Linked DNA regions of Arabidopsis thaliana. The protein of the gene in region 1 purifies or fractionates together with the protein of each later gene. This does not show direct contact. Each region holds a gene or a part of one and is shown on either strand. Other genes may lie near its edges.

Evidence for each region. Proteins that work in one complex are often made in the same cells at the same time.
Region 2: the proteins of ATMDAR2 (region 1) and AT2G20420 fractionate together in Arabidopsis thaliana (co-fractionation; one large-scale study listed by BioGRID). This does not show direct contact.

What each region holds. Positions count from the first base shown.
Region 1 is NC_003076.8:920,880-928,088, reverse strand, and holds ATMDAR2 (Pyridine nucleotide-disulfide oxidoreductase family protein), read left to right. Parts: upstream 1-3,360; 5' UTR 3,361-3,472; coding exon 3,473-3,526; intron 3,527-3,742; coding exon 3,743-3,814; intron 3,815-3,899; coding exon 3,900-3,951; intron 3,952-4,039; coding exon 4,040-4,120; intron 4,121-4,200; coding exon 4,201-4,319; intron 4,320-4,420; coding exon 4,421-4,640; intron 4,641-4,730; coding exon 4,731-4,849; intron 4,850-4,940; coding exon 4,941-5,066; intron 5,067-5,156; coding exon 5,157-5,297; intron 5,298-5,387; coding exon 5,388-5,711; 3' UTR 5,712-6,041; downstream 6,042-7,209. Other genes in the region: AT5G03640 (Protein kinase superfamily protein), read right to left, coding at 1-174; AT5G03620 (Subtilisin-like serine endopeptidase family protein), read right to left, coding at 6,215-6,789, 6,871-7,193. UniProt on the Arabidopsis thaliana protein: Catalyzes the conversion of monodehydroascorbate to ascorbate, oxidizing NADH in the process.
Region 2 is NC_003071.7:8,802,508-8,809,800, forward strand, and holds AT2G20420 (ATP citrate lyase (ACL) family protein), read left to right. Parts: upstream 1-2,834; 5' UTR 2,835-3,066; coding exon 3,067-3,165; intron 3,166-3,348; coding exon 3,349-3,459; intron 3,460-3,541; coding exon 3,542-3,653; intron 3,654-3,750; coding exon 3,751-3,815; intron 3,816-3,910; coding exon 3,911-3,988; intron 3,989-4,097; coding exon 4,098-4,172; intron 4,173-4,278; coding exon 4,279-4,431; intron 4,432-4,514; coding exon 4,515-4,649; intron 4,650-4,738; coding exon 4,739-4,903; intron 4,904-4,989; coding exon 4,990-5,112; intron 5,113-5,201; coding exon 5,202-5,351; 3' UTR 5,352-5,664; downstream 5,665-7,293. Other genes in the region: AT2G20410 (RNA-binding ASCH domain protein), read left to right, coding at 54-168, 290-433, 543-610, 727-777, 859-918, 1,013-1,552, 1,646-1,687; RIC6 (ROP-interactive CRIB motif-containing protein 6), read right to left, coding at 6,160-6,618, 6,851-6,957, 7,202-7,274. UniProt on the Arabidopsis thaliana protein: Succinyl-CoA synthetase functions in the citric acid cycle (TCA), coupling the hydrolysis of succinyl-CoA to the synthesis of ATP and thus represents the only step of substrate-level phosphorylation in the TCA.

The DNA of each region.
Region 1 (7,209 bases):
ATCTTCTAGTGAACCTCTGTAACCTAATTTCAGTACCGGTCGCTCCAGATCCTTGTCGTCGACAATGCTTGATCTAGAATGTGGAATAGTGGTTGATTTCGCTGAGTAACCAATCGAGTTTTGACGGTCTTCTTTTTCTTCAACTATTTCACACTTTCCGGCAAATGAACCCATAACATTAAAGCTCAGTCACACAGCATCTTAGTAACCGCGGAAATGCGAGTAATCTAAACCGGTAGATACATCTTTTTATCCCACACGCACCTGAAATTATATTCACAGTTTAAAGGAAGGTATGTGATTTTTCTTGTTAAAGAGTGCATCAAAACTATGAAATTCTAATTATAAAGAGAACACAGATTTATAAGAACAGAGCAAAACAGAGCAGAGCAGAGGAATATGGGAGAAAAAAAATCACTAATGCTTTATTAACAAGATATTTTGATCAGAGACTAAAAATTAAGGAACATACCACACAACACAATACCTATGAAACAGTCACATATCTCAAACTGTAACAACTGCAGATGGTTCTTTTGATATTAATGGGTTCATGTCTTTAGTTCCACAGAGATCATGTCAAATTCAAAAGTGAGAATTTTTCATATGAAACATAATCATCGTCAAATCAAAAGTTCAATCTTTTTGAAACAAGAAAAATGAATATAAACTTTATGCAAAGTCGTGTTTCTATGATGTTACCTTTTTCTTAAGCAGACATGTACTATCGCATAACAAAGCATAACAAAAGAAAAACTCTAGTTTCATCATGATGAATCATCTATGATCAAGAGTAAGACAGTACCTGAAGAGATTATTGACGAAGCAGAGAGACAAGAAAAGCTGTTGTTTGGGCTTCTGTCTCTTCTATCTTTATGTTTGTTGGGGTTTTTTGTCGGTATATTTTTGAAGAGGTTTCAAAAGGATTCTGCATTTTTCTGGGCAGTTTGAAGAACAAATCATGGGACCCATATTCATATGTTTGTGGGTCTCATGTAAGAACGAGATTATTAAATATTTTTGTTCAATTCGATGGAGACTATATTGACATGTTGATCACTACTGATTTTTCCGTTGACAAGTGTCTTCGAAATTTTAACTCTTAAGCACAAGAGTTTAATCTTGTTTTAGTAGATTATTATGAACCATGTCACTTTTCAATGAAAACTCCAGATTTTTTGTTTGGCAAGAAGATTGTTTTTCCAGAATTGTGTGATTCATGTATATATTAGGTAAGAAAATGATCAAAACTTAAGAAAAAGGTGATAATGATGGACCTAATGTACATTTTGACAATAATGCTGGTCTTTCATCACTATAACCCTAGAAGTATAATTTACTACATATCACTTCGCTCGAGGGAAATTATAATGTTTCTCTCTTGAATATTCAAAAGTTAAAATAACATTAACTTATTGAAATTTTTACTAGTTTTCTTAAAGATAAGCTGATTTTTAAAGCATTTTAAAGTATTCTTAAAGTTTAAAATGTTCGCAAATTCAGGAAGATATGGACCACAACAAATAATTTAGTAAACTTTGTATATTAATTAGGGTTGTCACCATGTTTTTTTAGGTAGAACATAGAATACTCAATACTCTCATACCGAAATAATAAAGCTTTATGTGAATCACATCCGCACGTAAAAGTGTCAACAAAATTTAAGTAACTTAATACGTGAATAATGTAACAATTGCAAATTATCACATACCCTATATTAATATCGGTCTTCTAAATAGTAACGTTGACCTTTTCTTGACTTGCTAATAAGTTTATACTATTAAGTTAAAACATCTTTCATTATGGTCAAATATTTGAGCCCTTGTGCTTAGCACTAAGTCTGCATCTAGGGTACAAGTGAAAGTTATGTTCGCATTTTTGAAAATTTATTTCTAACAACAGGTCAGTTGACTTGGGAGTTTTGGAATAATTTGTAATATTGTATATGGATCCAACAAAGTGAGTACTTCATAAAAACTATTCGTGGGTATTCTTCGAAATCTGATAGATCGGACCGGCCCATTAACAGAAGCCCGTCAATATCTATAACCACAACAAAAGTAACCGATGAATTTAGTCAGTCATTTAGATCCTTTCTTCTACATGGTTGTCACTTGTCACTGTAAGAAGTATTCGTCATCCTAGCATCTTCCAAGAAGATTTAGTAACAAATGTCAAAATCATGCATGCAGTAAACTAAAAATAGTACTCTTTGTATTCGAGTGCTAATTACTAATCTTCCAAGAAGATTGGTAACAAATGTCAAAATCATAAGGAATAATTATAATACAAAGTACATTTTAACTTATTAACATATGTCAAAATCAATAGGGTACTTTTGATACGTCCGGTAAATTAGTGTTCTAGTACAGCCCTATCTCTGTTCTTTTCTCATTAAATTGGATTTGAAACTCTCATTATTGTAGGCATGGAAGAGTTTTAGGCCGCCAAGGTCCACATCATTAATAGTTTAGGTCTTTAATACAGTGACATTACATCATTAATATTTAGGTCCCAATTTCTGGAAATTCTATCTGGTTGGAATTTAGGTCATCATTCTTGACAATTTTTTCTCCTCTTTTGACTAAAATCCAAATCATCTTTCCTCTCAAAACTATTAATGTAATACTCTTATTCACATTAGGTCATATGTTAATGTTATTGTAATATACTAATTATACAAAACTAGGTAGTTTCTTTCTTTACTGTAGTAGATCTTAAAACATAAGATAACGACATAAATCATTTAGATTATTAGTAGTTTGATTAATTACTATAATTTATGGTCTTAAGGTTATTCATCTTTGTTTATGCAAACAAAATCATATGATTAGTGTAGTAAATACATATCCTTTTTGTACTATCGGGTTTAGGGATCAAGATAAGGTCCTTGTTTTAACTGTCTTTACATTATATCCAAATAAATTATGGAAATGATTCACTGACACAAATAATCGAATTAAACTTAAAGTCTTAAACTATACATAAAACTACAGATTGGTCTAATAAAGAAATTAAAACCAACCAACAACTCCATAAAGATATTCTACTATATTCATCAATTTGACTAGTGGTTGCTGACACTAGATTTATGATTCCTTTCATATATTTTCTCTTGGTAATTGGTATGTAAATAAAATTCTCCAAATATGAAAGACTGAAAGTGAAATGTAATCAGTAAACCGAGTAATACCGGAATTTTAAATCTGAATGTCCGTTTTACATCGACCAGATCTGTCACGTGTTAAATAAGACCGGGTCAAAAATATAAGACGCTGACTTGTAACGGTTCGATTTCGATTTGTGCACGAAGCGGGATATCTAACGGTTTAAATTAAGCCACGTTTAAAGATTCCTTCTATACTGGACAAAGTCCCCTATAAAAACCTCTGACCCAATCACATTTCTCGGATCCAAAAAGACGAAGAAAAGGAAAAAAGACAAATCAAAGAGAGACGATTCGATCGCATCAATGGCAGAAGAAAAGAGCTTCAAGTATGTGATCGTCGGAGGTGGTGTCGCCGCCGTAAGTCTCTCTCTGTTCTTCTTCTTCATCGGATTTGTTTTTTTTCCTCAATCTCTTCGCTTACGAATCATCACACTGTACTACTGCTCATTTGTATCCTTATCACTCTGAGAAGTAGAGTAGATTGTATCGCTAGATCTAGTGATTTCTATGATTACGGGAAGATAGGAACTAGATTCCCAATTTATTGTTGTTTTGGGATGTTGTGATTCACAGGGATACGCGGCGAGAGAGTTCTTCAACCAAGGTGTCAAGCCTGGTGAACTTGCTATCATTTCCAGGGAACAAGTAAGTTTTCATGACTTGGAACTAAATTTAAGCTAGATTCTTGTCTTGTTATTTATAGTATTGGCAATTTTTTGGTGTTAATTAGGTTCCTCCATATGAGCGTCCTGCACTTAGCAAGGGATATATCCACCTCGAAAGTAAAAACTTCATTCTACATCATTTGGAGATTTAGTTTAGTCTGTGCGTGGTTTCTGAATTAGATTTGTTTGTTCTTATGGTATATAGATAAAGCTACACTTCCGAATTTCTATGTTGCTGCTGGAATTGGGGGAGAGAGACAGTTCCCTCAATGGTACAAAGAGAAAGGTGAGTTTCCTTTTTTTTTGTGCTTTAAGCGTTTTTTTAGCTCAATGTCTCTCATTCATTCTCATATGTCGTTTCTGCAGGTATTGAGCTGATTTTGGGCACAGAGATTGTCAAAGCAGATCTTGCTGCGAAGACACTTGTCAGTGGGACTGGACAAGTCTTCAAGTACCAAACTTTGCTAGCTGCAACTGGTTCTTCTGTGAGCACAATCTATCCTTGCACTTCTTACTTTGGAAGTTTCCATTTTTAGTCTCTTTTTTCTTTTTGCATCTCTTCTAAGGAATTTCTTAAATTGTGTAGGTCATAAGGTTGTCAGATTTTGGCGTCCCAGGTGCAGATGCTAAGAATATATTCTACCTGAGAGAACTCGAAGATGCTGATTACCTTGCTTATGCAATGGAAACAAAGGAAAAAGGAAAGGCTGTGGTTGTTGGTGGCGGTTACATCGGTCTTGAACTCGGTGCTGCTCTGAAGGCTAACAACCTCGACGTTACCATGGTTTATCCAGAACCTTGGTGCAGTAAGTTGATACAAGCCAAACCACTACCATAGAATTCTCATCGTATTCCCTTTGCTTAACACCTTTCCTTTTTGTTGTGTCTTTGAAAAGTGCCTCGGCTTTTCACCGCTGGCATTGCTTCCTTCTACGAGGGTTACTATGCCAACAAAGGAATTAACATTGTCAAAGGCACTGTTGCATCTGGTTTCACTACCAACTCAAATGGAGAGGTTAGCAATTAGCATCACCGTTCAAACTTGACAAACAGCAGTTTTTCTCTCCGCTGCTTCAACAATATCTCTCTGTTGCTTAATGATGCAGGTCACTGAGGTGAAATTGAAAGACGGAAGAACGTTAGAAGCTGATATTGTGATAGTGGGTGTCGGTGGTAGACCAATTATATCACTCTTCAAAGATCAAGTTGAAGAAGAGAAGGGTGGTTTGAAGGTTTGTGACTTGCATACTCCATTTTCTTCTGTATCTGAGATATAGTTCTTATTATTATTGTTTACTCATGAGATCTTTCTTTGATTGCAGACTGATGGGTTCTTCAAAACAAGCCTTCCAGATGTATACGCCATTGGTGATGTAGCCACCTTCCCAATGAAACTCTACAATGAAATGAGACGCGTTGAACACGTTGACCATGCTCGCAAATCCGCTGAACAAGCCGTAAAGGTAATAATTATAATGCTTCTTCAACCTGTCTTAATGAAGGAGCTGTATAAAATCATCCTAATTGAATCGATTGATATAATGATTTTGTAGGCAATCAAGGCGGCTGAGGAAGGGAACTCAATTCCGGAATATGACTATCTTCCATACTTTTACTCTCGAGCCTTTGATCTCTCATGGCAATTCTACGGTGACAACGTTGGAGAAAGCGTATTGTTTGGGGACAATGACCCGGAATCGCCAAAGCCGAAATTCGGGAGCTACTGGATTAAAGAACGGAAAGTGGTTGGAGCATTTTTAGAAGGTGGAAGTCCTGAAGAGAACAATGCAATTGCTAAACTTGCACGAGCACAACCTTCTGTTGAGAGCCTTGAAGTGCTATCTAAGGAAGGCCTTTCCTTCGCCACAAATATATAAATTGCCTTTCTAGGTTGTGTGTTAGTGTGAGCTTTGAGTTCAGAGTGGCTTTTATGTCACTTTGCTATTATGATAGCAGAGTCGACATTTTTGTTATTTGTTTGACCCACTTTCTTGTGATTGTTTGGTTCCAAAATAAAATTGAAAGCTACTCAATTCACTTTTCTGATATTTCTTTCTTCGAAAATGGTACACCAAACTTGTTGGAAACATTTCAGTCACTTTTCTCGGATCCGGCGTTACAAAAACCTTGTCTTCATATGAGTTTTTTATGTCCAAATTTTGTAGACATTTTTACTAACTTGTTGGAGATTGGTCCTTCTCCAACAACACTATTCAAGTTTTAATTCGACTAAAGTTTGGGAGAATTATTGTATATGTTCCTATTTATTTCAACACTAAAAAGGAGAAAAAAAACAACACTAGAAATAGAAATCATAACCAAACACTAAAAAACAAAAAACAAACAAACAAGGGTCTAAAAAAAAGCAGTCTTGTCTTTTTTAACGGTAATCGTTATCCGATCGAAACAACAGAATTGGACTTCTCACAAGATGTCCTCTCGAATCATCCCATTCCACAGAAGCAGACACAATCCCTTTCATTGTCTCATCCCAAACTCCATCAATCACAACCTTAAAATTCCTCTTCTCTTTAGGCCTCTCGAAACTCATAACCTTAGGCACAACCTCAACTCTCAAACCCTTCGGTGCCCAAACCCTAGCCACGTAGGTCGATGGTCCGTATCCGACATTCGTCACTGTTCTATAGAAAACTTCCGACACTTTCGCTTCCGTAGAATTCACTTGCTTGTGCAGTGACGGATAATTTAACCCGTCGGAACCTAACCCTCGCTTGATATTCTCACAATTGTATTCTTTCTTCGTAGTGTTGTTGCTGTTATCGCCGGTTAAAAGTCCGATGCTTGTGCTATTGTACCCTTCTTTACATAGGAATCTTAGGTATGCGTCCTCTGTGATGTCGTAGACTAGACCCGGGTGAATCGCTCTTCTCGGGTTAATTTGACCCGACCCGTAACTTAATTCTGCTTCGTTGCCTTTGATTCTCATAGGAGTAGCTGTAAAGGAAGTGTAAAGATTGAAACTTTCTTTTACTTTTGAGAACGCTTTGAGCTTTTTTGTTTGATGATTTTAGTTACCTGTTGTCATAAGGGCGGATTTGATTGCGGCTGGAGACCAATCAGGATGGAATGATTTGACATAAGCTGCTGCAGCTGCTGCGTGAGGACAAGCCATTGACGTTCCTGACATTATGGAGAACAGTGTTCGTCTATTGTCGTCTGGATAACCGGTTACCGATGCTAGCTTCGAGTATGCTGCGAGAATGTTTAGTCCCGGCGCTGATATGTCAGGCTTGAGAATGTTGGGACTTATTCGTTGAGGTCCTCTTGCTGAGAAGGAAGAAATCGATGGAGCTAACATTTTGGTTGTCTTTGTCTTAAAGATAACCGCTTGAGGATTTCTGTGAAGTTCGATAA
Region 2 (7,293 bases), on another chromosome or scaffold:
CGATTAGGTTTAAGTATAGGTTTTGATATTTGGATTTTGGAAGAAAAAGAGTGATGAGTCGTGGGAATTACAAGAACCCGTGCTTGACCATGCATCAGCCATGGGCATCACTTCTCGTCCATGGTATCAAACGCATCGAAGGCAGATCCTGGCCTTCCCCAATTCGAGGTAAAAAAAACCCTAATTTTGAACTCAGGGATTCGACTGAGATTTAATTTGAATTTGAAACACTGTGATAATTGCATAACTTTGAAGAAGAAGATGATGTTGTTTTTAAACATGTAAATAGGCCGTTTATGGATTCATGCTGCAAGTAAAGTACCTGATGAAGCTACTATCAAAGCAATGGAAGAGTTTTACCAACAAATTTATGCTGTTGATGGGATCACTGATATTCAATTCCCCCAACATTACCCTGTTTCAAGACTAATTGGTATCGTTGTTTACTAATCTCCATATTTGAAAGTCTAAGTTCCATGTTATAGTATAAGCAAGACCTGATTTTGCTTGGAACATATTTGAATACGGTTTCGTTGGTATAGGATGTGTTGAGGTTGTTGGATGTGTCACCTCCGATGAGCTTCAGAACTGGGATGCTTTACCTCAAGGGGTACAACAATTTTCCTTATTACTGTGTTCTATTCTTTGACATTGAAAACAGCTCGTTATCGATGATTCTTTAGTATAATAAGCAAAAACCTCAACTGTTGTTTTGGTATGTAATAGGTGAGGCTTGAAGGACAAACTAACTTTTGTTGGCTATGTGAGAAGCCACAGGTGAAAGTCACTTCATCTTTTGGCTGTTACTGTTTTGTTTAGATTGACTTATTTGACATTTGATTCTGTGAACTCTTCCAGAAACTGATTATTCCATTTGAGATGCGTGGGTACCAGGGCGTCTATAACTTAGAGAATAAGGTAATCTTGCTGTTCTTCAAAGCCTAGGGATTGGTGGGTTCTTGTTGTAGTATAAATTAGTACCAGTTACTTACTGTATTTCTAAATGAAACAGATTTATGTAGCAGCAGCTAGAGGTCTTATGCCTTCTCAAAACTCTTTTAAGGTGAAATTCCCTCTTCCTGACCCAAAAGACCCGTTTTCCTTAAAACCTGGTTCTATTCCTTGTACAATGCAAGAGAAGAAAGAACTTGATTCAAAGCAAGTTACCAGCCTCACAGCTGCAATCAAGCAAGTTACCAGCCTCACAGCTGCAATCGCCGGTGCAAAAGCAGCGGCGACACAATTTTCTAAGAAGGGACAAAGTCTCCAAACAAATAATATATTTGATTACACAACAAGAAGCAAGAGCAAAGTTATTGAAGATGAAGCAGCAGAATCCCTAGATAACCCGGTTCTTGGTTCTGGTGGAACGTCTGACCGTACTTATAGAACAAGAAGCAAGAACAGAGGCACACAGATGGGTGAAGAAGTATGTAGTGAAAGCAGCAACAGCAGCAGCAAAGTTGAATCTAGTCAAAGAAGTGCAGTCACAAAGAGTGAGGACAGGAATACAAGAATTGGTGAAAGAAGGTTTGATCCTGGATCTGCCCGGGTACGTTTATTATCTTACATTAAGCGATAATTACAACAATAATTGTTGACTTTGTTGTTGTCTGATTTTATTTCACATGTGGAATTATTTCAGATCATGGCCGCTGCAATTAGGAACTTGAAGCCACCTTCTTGATCTAATGCGTCAAGGTTGTACCATATTTTGCATTCTTTCTAAAACATGTTCATTTCAAAGTTTGAGAAGTTCGTTTTAGAGTTAGTTTATAGGTTTATTGTATACACATTCAATTTAACTTATATGAGAGAATAATCATGTGGACTAATAAATACACAGAGCAATGAGTTTTGAGTAGACTGTTTAGTCGAATTTTACTAAATTACTATATTTTGGTCAGATTTAGAAGAATGTTTATATTTTTGGGGGGTTTGTCCCACATCGGTAGTTTCAAAATATCAGTTGTGTATATATTTAGTCGAAAACGAAAACAAGTAACAATAGTCATTGGACAAAGTGAATGGGTCACATGGGCTTGTCTAAGTTCCGACCCAGGAAAGTCCCCGGGCCACTTTTCGCAGAGATGCGGCCTCGGTAACGAGAGAATCATGCGGTGGAGAGATTCTATAAGCTGAGACGCGTGTGTGGAGCTTCTGTTGTCTCTCCGTCGATGACATCATGGCCGTTCGATTCACGACAGTTATTCACTTGGTCCTCATCGGACTAACTGAACGGGGCTTATGTTCCAATGACAACAATTTTTTTCTTTTTGAGTAATCCCGGTTTACTCAACTTACTCAACCGTACCGGTGGAAGATTCCTTACAGTAATACTAAAGCTTTTGGCTTAGCTCATTTTGGTGATGATAACAGTAATATCATAAGTACATAATAAATAATTGAAACTTTTGTAAGTATCCTCATTTTTTCAGAAAGTAAATAATATCAAATGTATTGAGAAAACAATAAATGATCATTTTTTTATTTTAATTAGACTCAAAATTAAATAACTGGAAATTAAAAAACCAAATAAACTGAAAATTATTATCTAAAATACAGTAACTAAAAATTTGTCTTGTCGATAAGTCGGATAAAATTTATTCATATAAATATTTAGTCATATACAAGTAAAATAATACTACAAATAATACACAATCAGTCGATGTTATATACAATAAAATTATAGATTTATAAAGGAAAAAATTATCCGGCGATATATCTGATGTCAATCTCTAGTGGGTTAGCATTTTTATTGAAAAATTGTATTGCTTAGTTTTTTTATTGTTATATTGTTAGTGAATTAAAATGGTACTTTGGTATTTTCATATATAGACTTTTTGAAAATAAAATCTTAGATTTTTTCTAACAAGAGTTACCAAAAATATTTTGGAATTAAATGAGCCGGCGACATAGAAGAATAGAGAGGGTTAAATTGAAAATTCATAAAGTAGGAAAAAATTAGGGTTAGACTCGATCATTCATAGCTGCGACTATTCTCTGCTCTTTCTACATTTTCTCATTTTCTCTTGGGCTACTTTTCGACTACTAACAAATCCAACGATGAGGGGATTGGTGAACAAGCTCGTGTCCAGATCTCTCTCCATCTCCGGGAAATGGCAGAACCAACAGCTTCGTCGTCTCAACATCCACGAGTATCAGGTTCTTCTTCTCTTCATTTCCATTTGATAGTTGCCTAGATTCGCTTTTGTCAAGTCAGAATTCGAGTACGATCTGTGTCTTTGTCTGTTGTTTCTGTGTTGATCCACTGATTGATTTGTGGTTGATAGAATTCTCTGGGTTTAGGATAATGTAAAGTTTGTATTGTGATTCTGATACAACCAGGGAGCTGAATTGATGGGGAAATATGGAGTTAATGTGCCGAAAGGAGTAGCTGCTTCTTCGTTGGAAGAAGTTAAAAAGGCTATTCAAGATGTTTTCCCTAATGAAAGCGAGGTAAATTCAGTGAGGGATTCGATTCTAATCTCTATTATTAGTTGTTGTCTAATTGAAAGAGTGTCATTTTCGTGTGATACAGTTGGTTGTTAAGAGCCAGATTTTGGCTGGTGGAAGAGGTCTTGGAACATTCAAGAGTGGTCTTAAGGGTGGTGTTCACATTGTTAAACGTGATGAGGCTGAAGAGATTGCTGGTATTGTACAGGATTTCTTGTTTGTGGCTTTCTGGAGTCTGTTTTTTGTTGTTGTTGTACAAGTTATTGATCTATTTCAAATCTTTATTACTTGTAGGAAAGATGCTAGGACAAGTACTTGTCACCAAGCAAACTGGTCCTCAAGGCAAAGTAGTTAGCAAGGTTTGTTATCTGTTATTCATGATTGGTGTTTTTTCTTCTATTATTGTCACTGCTCTTGCACCTTTGTTTATTCATTGTGTCTTCATTTTGAGCAGGTTTACTTGTGTGAGAAATTGTCACTCGTCAATGAGATGTACTTTTCCATTATTCTGGACCGTAAATCTGCTGGACCGGTATGCTACTACGCAAATGATGAGCTGCTGCTATTCATTTCCCTACTTCTAGGCATGCTGTTTTCATACCCTGCTGTAATATCTAAAACGCTTTCCTTTCCTATATCAGTTGATCATTGCCTGTAAAAAGGGTGGTACCAGTATTGAAGATCTTGCTGAGAAGTTCCCTGACATGATCATCAAGGTTGTTACTGTTTGATTCGTATTTGGTGGTCTGATCTCCAGTAAATATCATTCTGAGATTCTTTCTCATGCGGGTTTTTGACACCTCAAGTCATGGTTTTGCGTAGGTACCAATTGATGTATTTGCAGGAATCACTGATGAAGATGCTGCTAAGGTTGTGGATGGTCTGGCTCCCAAAGCTGCTGACAGAAAAGATTCGATTGAACAAGTGAAGAAGCTATACGAACTCTTCCGCAAGACTGACTGCACAATGTTGGAAGTGAGTTCTCTCTCACTGTCTTTTTTCTACACACTTCTTCAGTTATAAATATCTTTTGTTGAACCTCCAAATTTCTCTTGTAGATCAATCCCCTTGCGGAGACATCAACTAATCAATTGGTAGCTGCTGATGCCAAATTGAACTTCGATGATAATGCTGCGTTCCGACAAAAAGAGGTTTTCGCCATGCGTGATCCAACACAGGAGGATCCACGAGAGGTCTCTGTCTATCTCTTGTATCATCAAGAAAGCCATTGTTATGTTAATTCGATAGGATGTTAAAAGGAATAGTGTGTTGTGTCTCATAGGTGGCTGCTGCTAAAGTTGACCTGAACTACATCGGTTTAGATGGAGAGATTGGTTGCATGGTGAATGGTGCTGGATTGGCCATGGCAACCATGGACATCATTAAATTACACGGTGGAACACCCGCCAATTTCCTTGACGTTGGTGGAAATGCTTCTGAGCACCAGGTAAAAGGAACCTTCTTTCTTTCTTCACTTTTGGGAATCATTGGAATGAAAACCAATTTTAATAGAGGTTTGTGTCAAAAAATAAGGTGGTGGAAGCGTTTAAGATACTGACATCGGACGATAAAGTGAAAGCAATCTTGGTGAACATATTTGGTGGGATAATGAAATGTGATGTGATTGCTAGTGGAATCGTGAACGCTGCAAAAGAGGTGAGTGAGAAACAACCTTGTTACCATAATATTTCATATATTCATGATTGAAAATAAATCCGAGTGTTTGTGTGGAATGGCGAGGACAGGTCGCATTGAAAGTGCCAGTGGTGGTTCGTCTAGAAGGAACGAATGTTGAGCAGGGAAAGAGAATCCTCAAGGAAAGTGGAATGAAACTCATAACAGCTGATGATTTGGATGATGCAGCTGAGAAAGCGGTTAAAGCTTTAGCTCACTAATCTCTCTATATATACCAAAAGCCGGTTTGTTAATTGTTTTGTGGTTGACGCCCAATTTACACTTTCTTGCGGATATCATTTCCTCAAACAGATCAATAATGAACTGGTCTCCTTTTTTTGTGTGATCCATCCAAAGAGATTCAAATCAGAATTCTCAATATCTTTTTGTATTTAACCAACTCATATGGTTGATACTAGGGTTTCAAGTTTATCTCATACGTACTGTTCCTATCATGAATAAAAATCGTTTTTGTGGGAAGCCACACTATAGCTGTCACTGAAACAACAAAATTAATCCCTCTCTCTACAAAAGGCTTTCACAAAACAGAGCTGTCCTCTGTTTCCAATTTAACGGTCAAAACGATAAACTTATTTTTTGATAGAATGTTAATTATATTACCAAAAGGAAAGAAGATTATTTACAAAAACTTTTGACCAGGATTGCAGCTCCATTGTTGTAGTGATGCAGCTCTATTGCTGAGGGCTATGATGAAGAGGAAAATCACACTAACACTACTCAGCTCTTGTCCAAGAAGTTTTTATTCATATATAGGGTTTCTAGTAAAGTGAAAGATGCTGTTGATTTGTTCTGTAAGAATGCTCTTTTATATTTATGATCGACGTCAATGATGATCTATGTTCAAGTGATTTGGATGATAGCACCGAAAAATATTTGTCTAAATTCTCCTTGCATAGTTAATAATAGTACAAGAATGAACAAGAAAATCTAACAATTGGTGTGTTGTGTTCAATGAAAATTAGCCATTTGGAGCTAGCAGCAAAGTCTCTATATATGTCGTCTCTCCTTTCAAAAATCATCTCTATTGTCGAATTGAGGCATAGATCTCACAGAACCAGTCTCAGACATATATTCCGACATGTTATCGACATCAGATCTTCTTGTCGATCTTGATGACCCTCCATTAACCGCGGTTTCTTTCGTCGACTTCTTCTTCCTCCTAGATTTCTTTGGAATTTCCGGTAATCCACTAGGCCAAGAAGACAACTCGTCTTGTTCTTCAGTGGCTTCCTTTGGTCTCCTCGACGATGACGATGTCCCTTTGTTAGAAGAGCGACGTTTAGTTTTGTCTGATGATTTGTCTTTTGTCGGAGAACCTTTCTCGGACGCTGCTTTCCTCGTAGATTTTGGTAGGTTTGGCAAATCTCTAGACCGACCACCATATTCCGACATACATTTTATGGAGGAATCATCTTCTCCGACTCCTTCAGCAGATTCGAATCCCCCGCCGGAGTTGAACTCAGTCATCTTTCAAATCACATAACATTAACCAAATCAATTCGACATTTTCTGAAAACGTTTTAGGTCAAATTTTTAATATATATGACCTCGTAGATTTGAGTCAAGTATTAATCTAGAGCTCACATCCATCCAAATATGCGTAGGATAATAAAACAATCTTTCATTTGCCTATTTTATCACGATTATTGTTTACGCCTTTTAAGAATTACCAAAGAAGTAGAAAAGAGTAAAAACATACCCAGCTTGGTGCGGTGGCATTAGCGGATGGTCCATCCCAACCGATATGGGCAACATGTTTTACGTCCGTTGGATTTCCGATTTGTATTTCTTCTTCTTTTTCACTTTCTATCATCATTAAAAGAAAGAAACAAGAAAGTATAATCAATCATTTAGATTCATCCTCAATCCATATAAACGTACTTGCAATGCATGCATGCAAATTTTCTACGTGATTTGCATCATAGTAATTCAAAACTGATCATGAAGTTCGAGTTTTTATATAAGGAAAAAAGGATTTATCATATGTATAAACTCTTATGCGAACAAAAATCAGAAGAAATTAAACAAGAGATCTATAGGGTGAACTTACCAAATACTTGAGAAATGTATCGGAGCCCTTTCAAGAGGCTTTTCATCTTGGAGCTTGACATTGTGAGTTGCATAGATCTCTTTTTAGGTTTA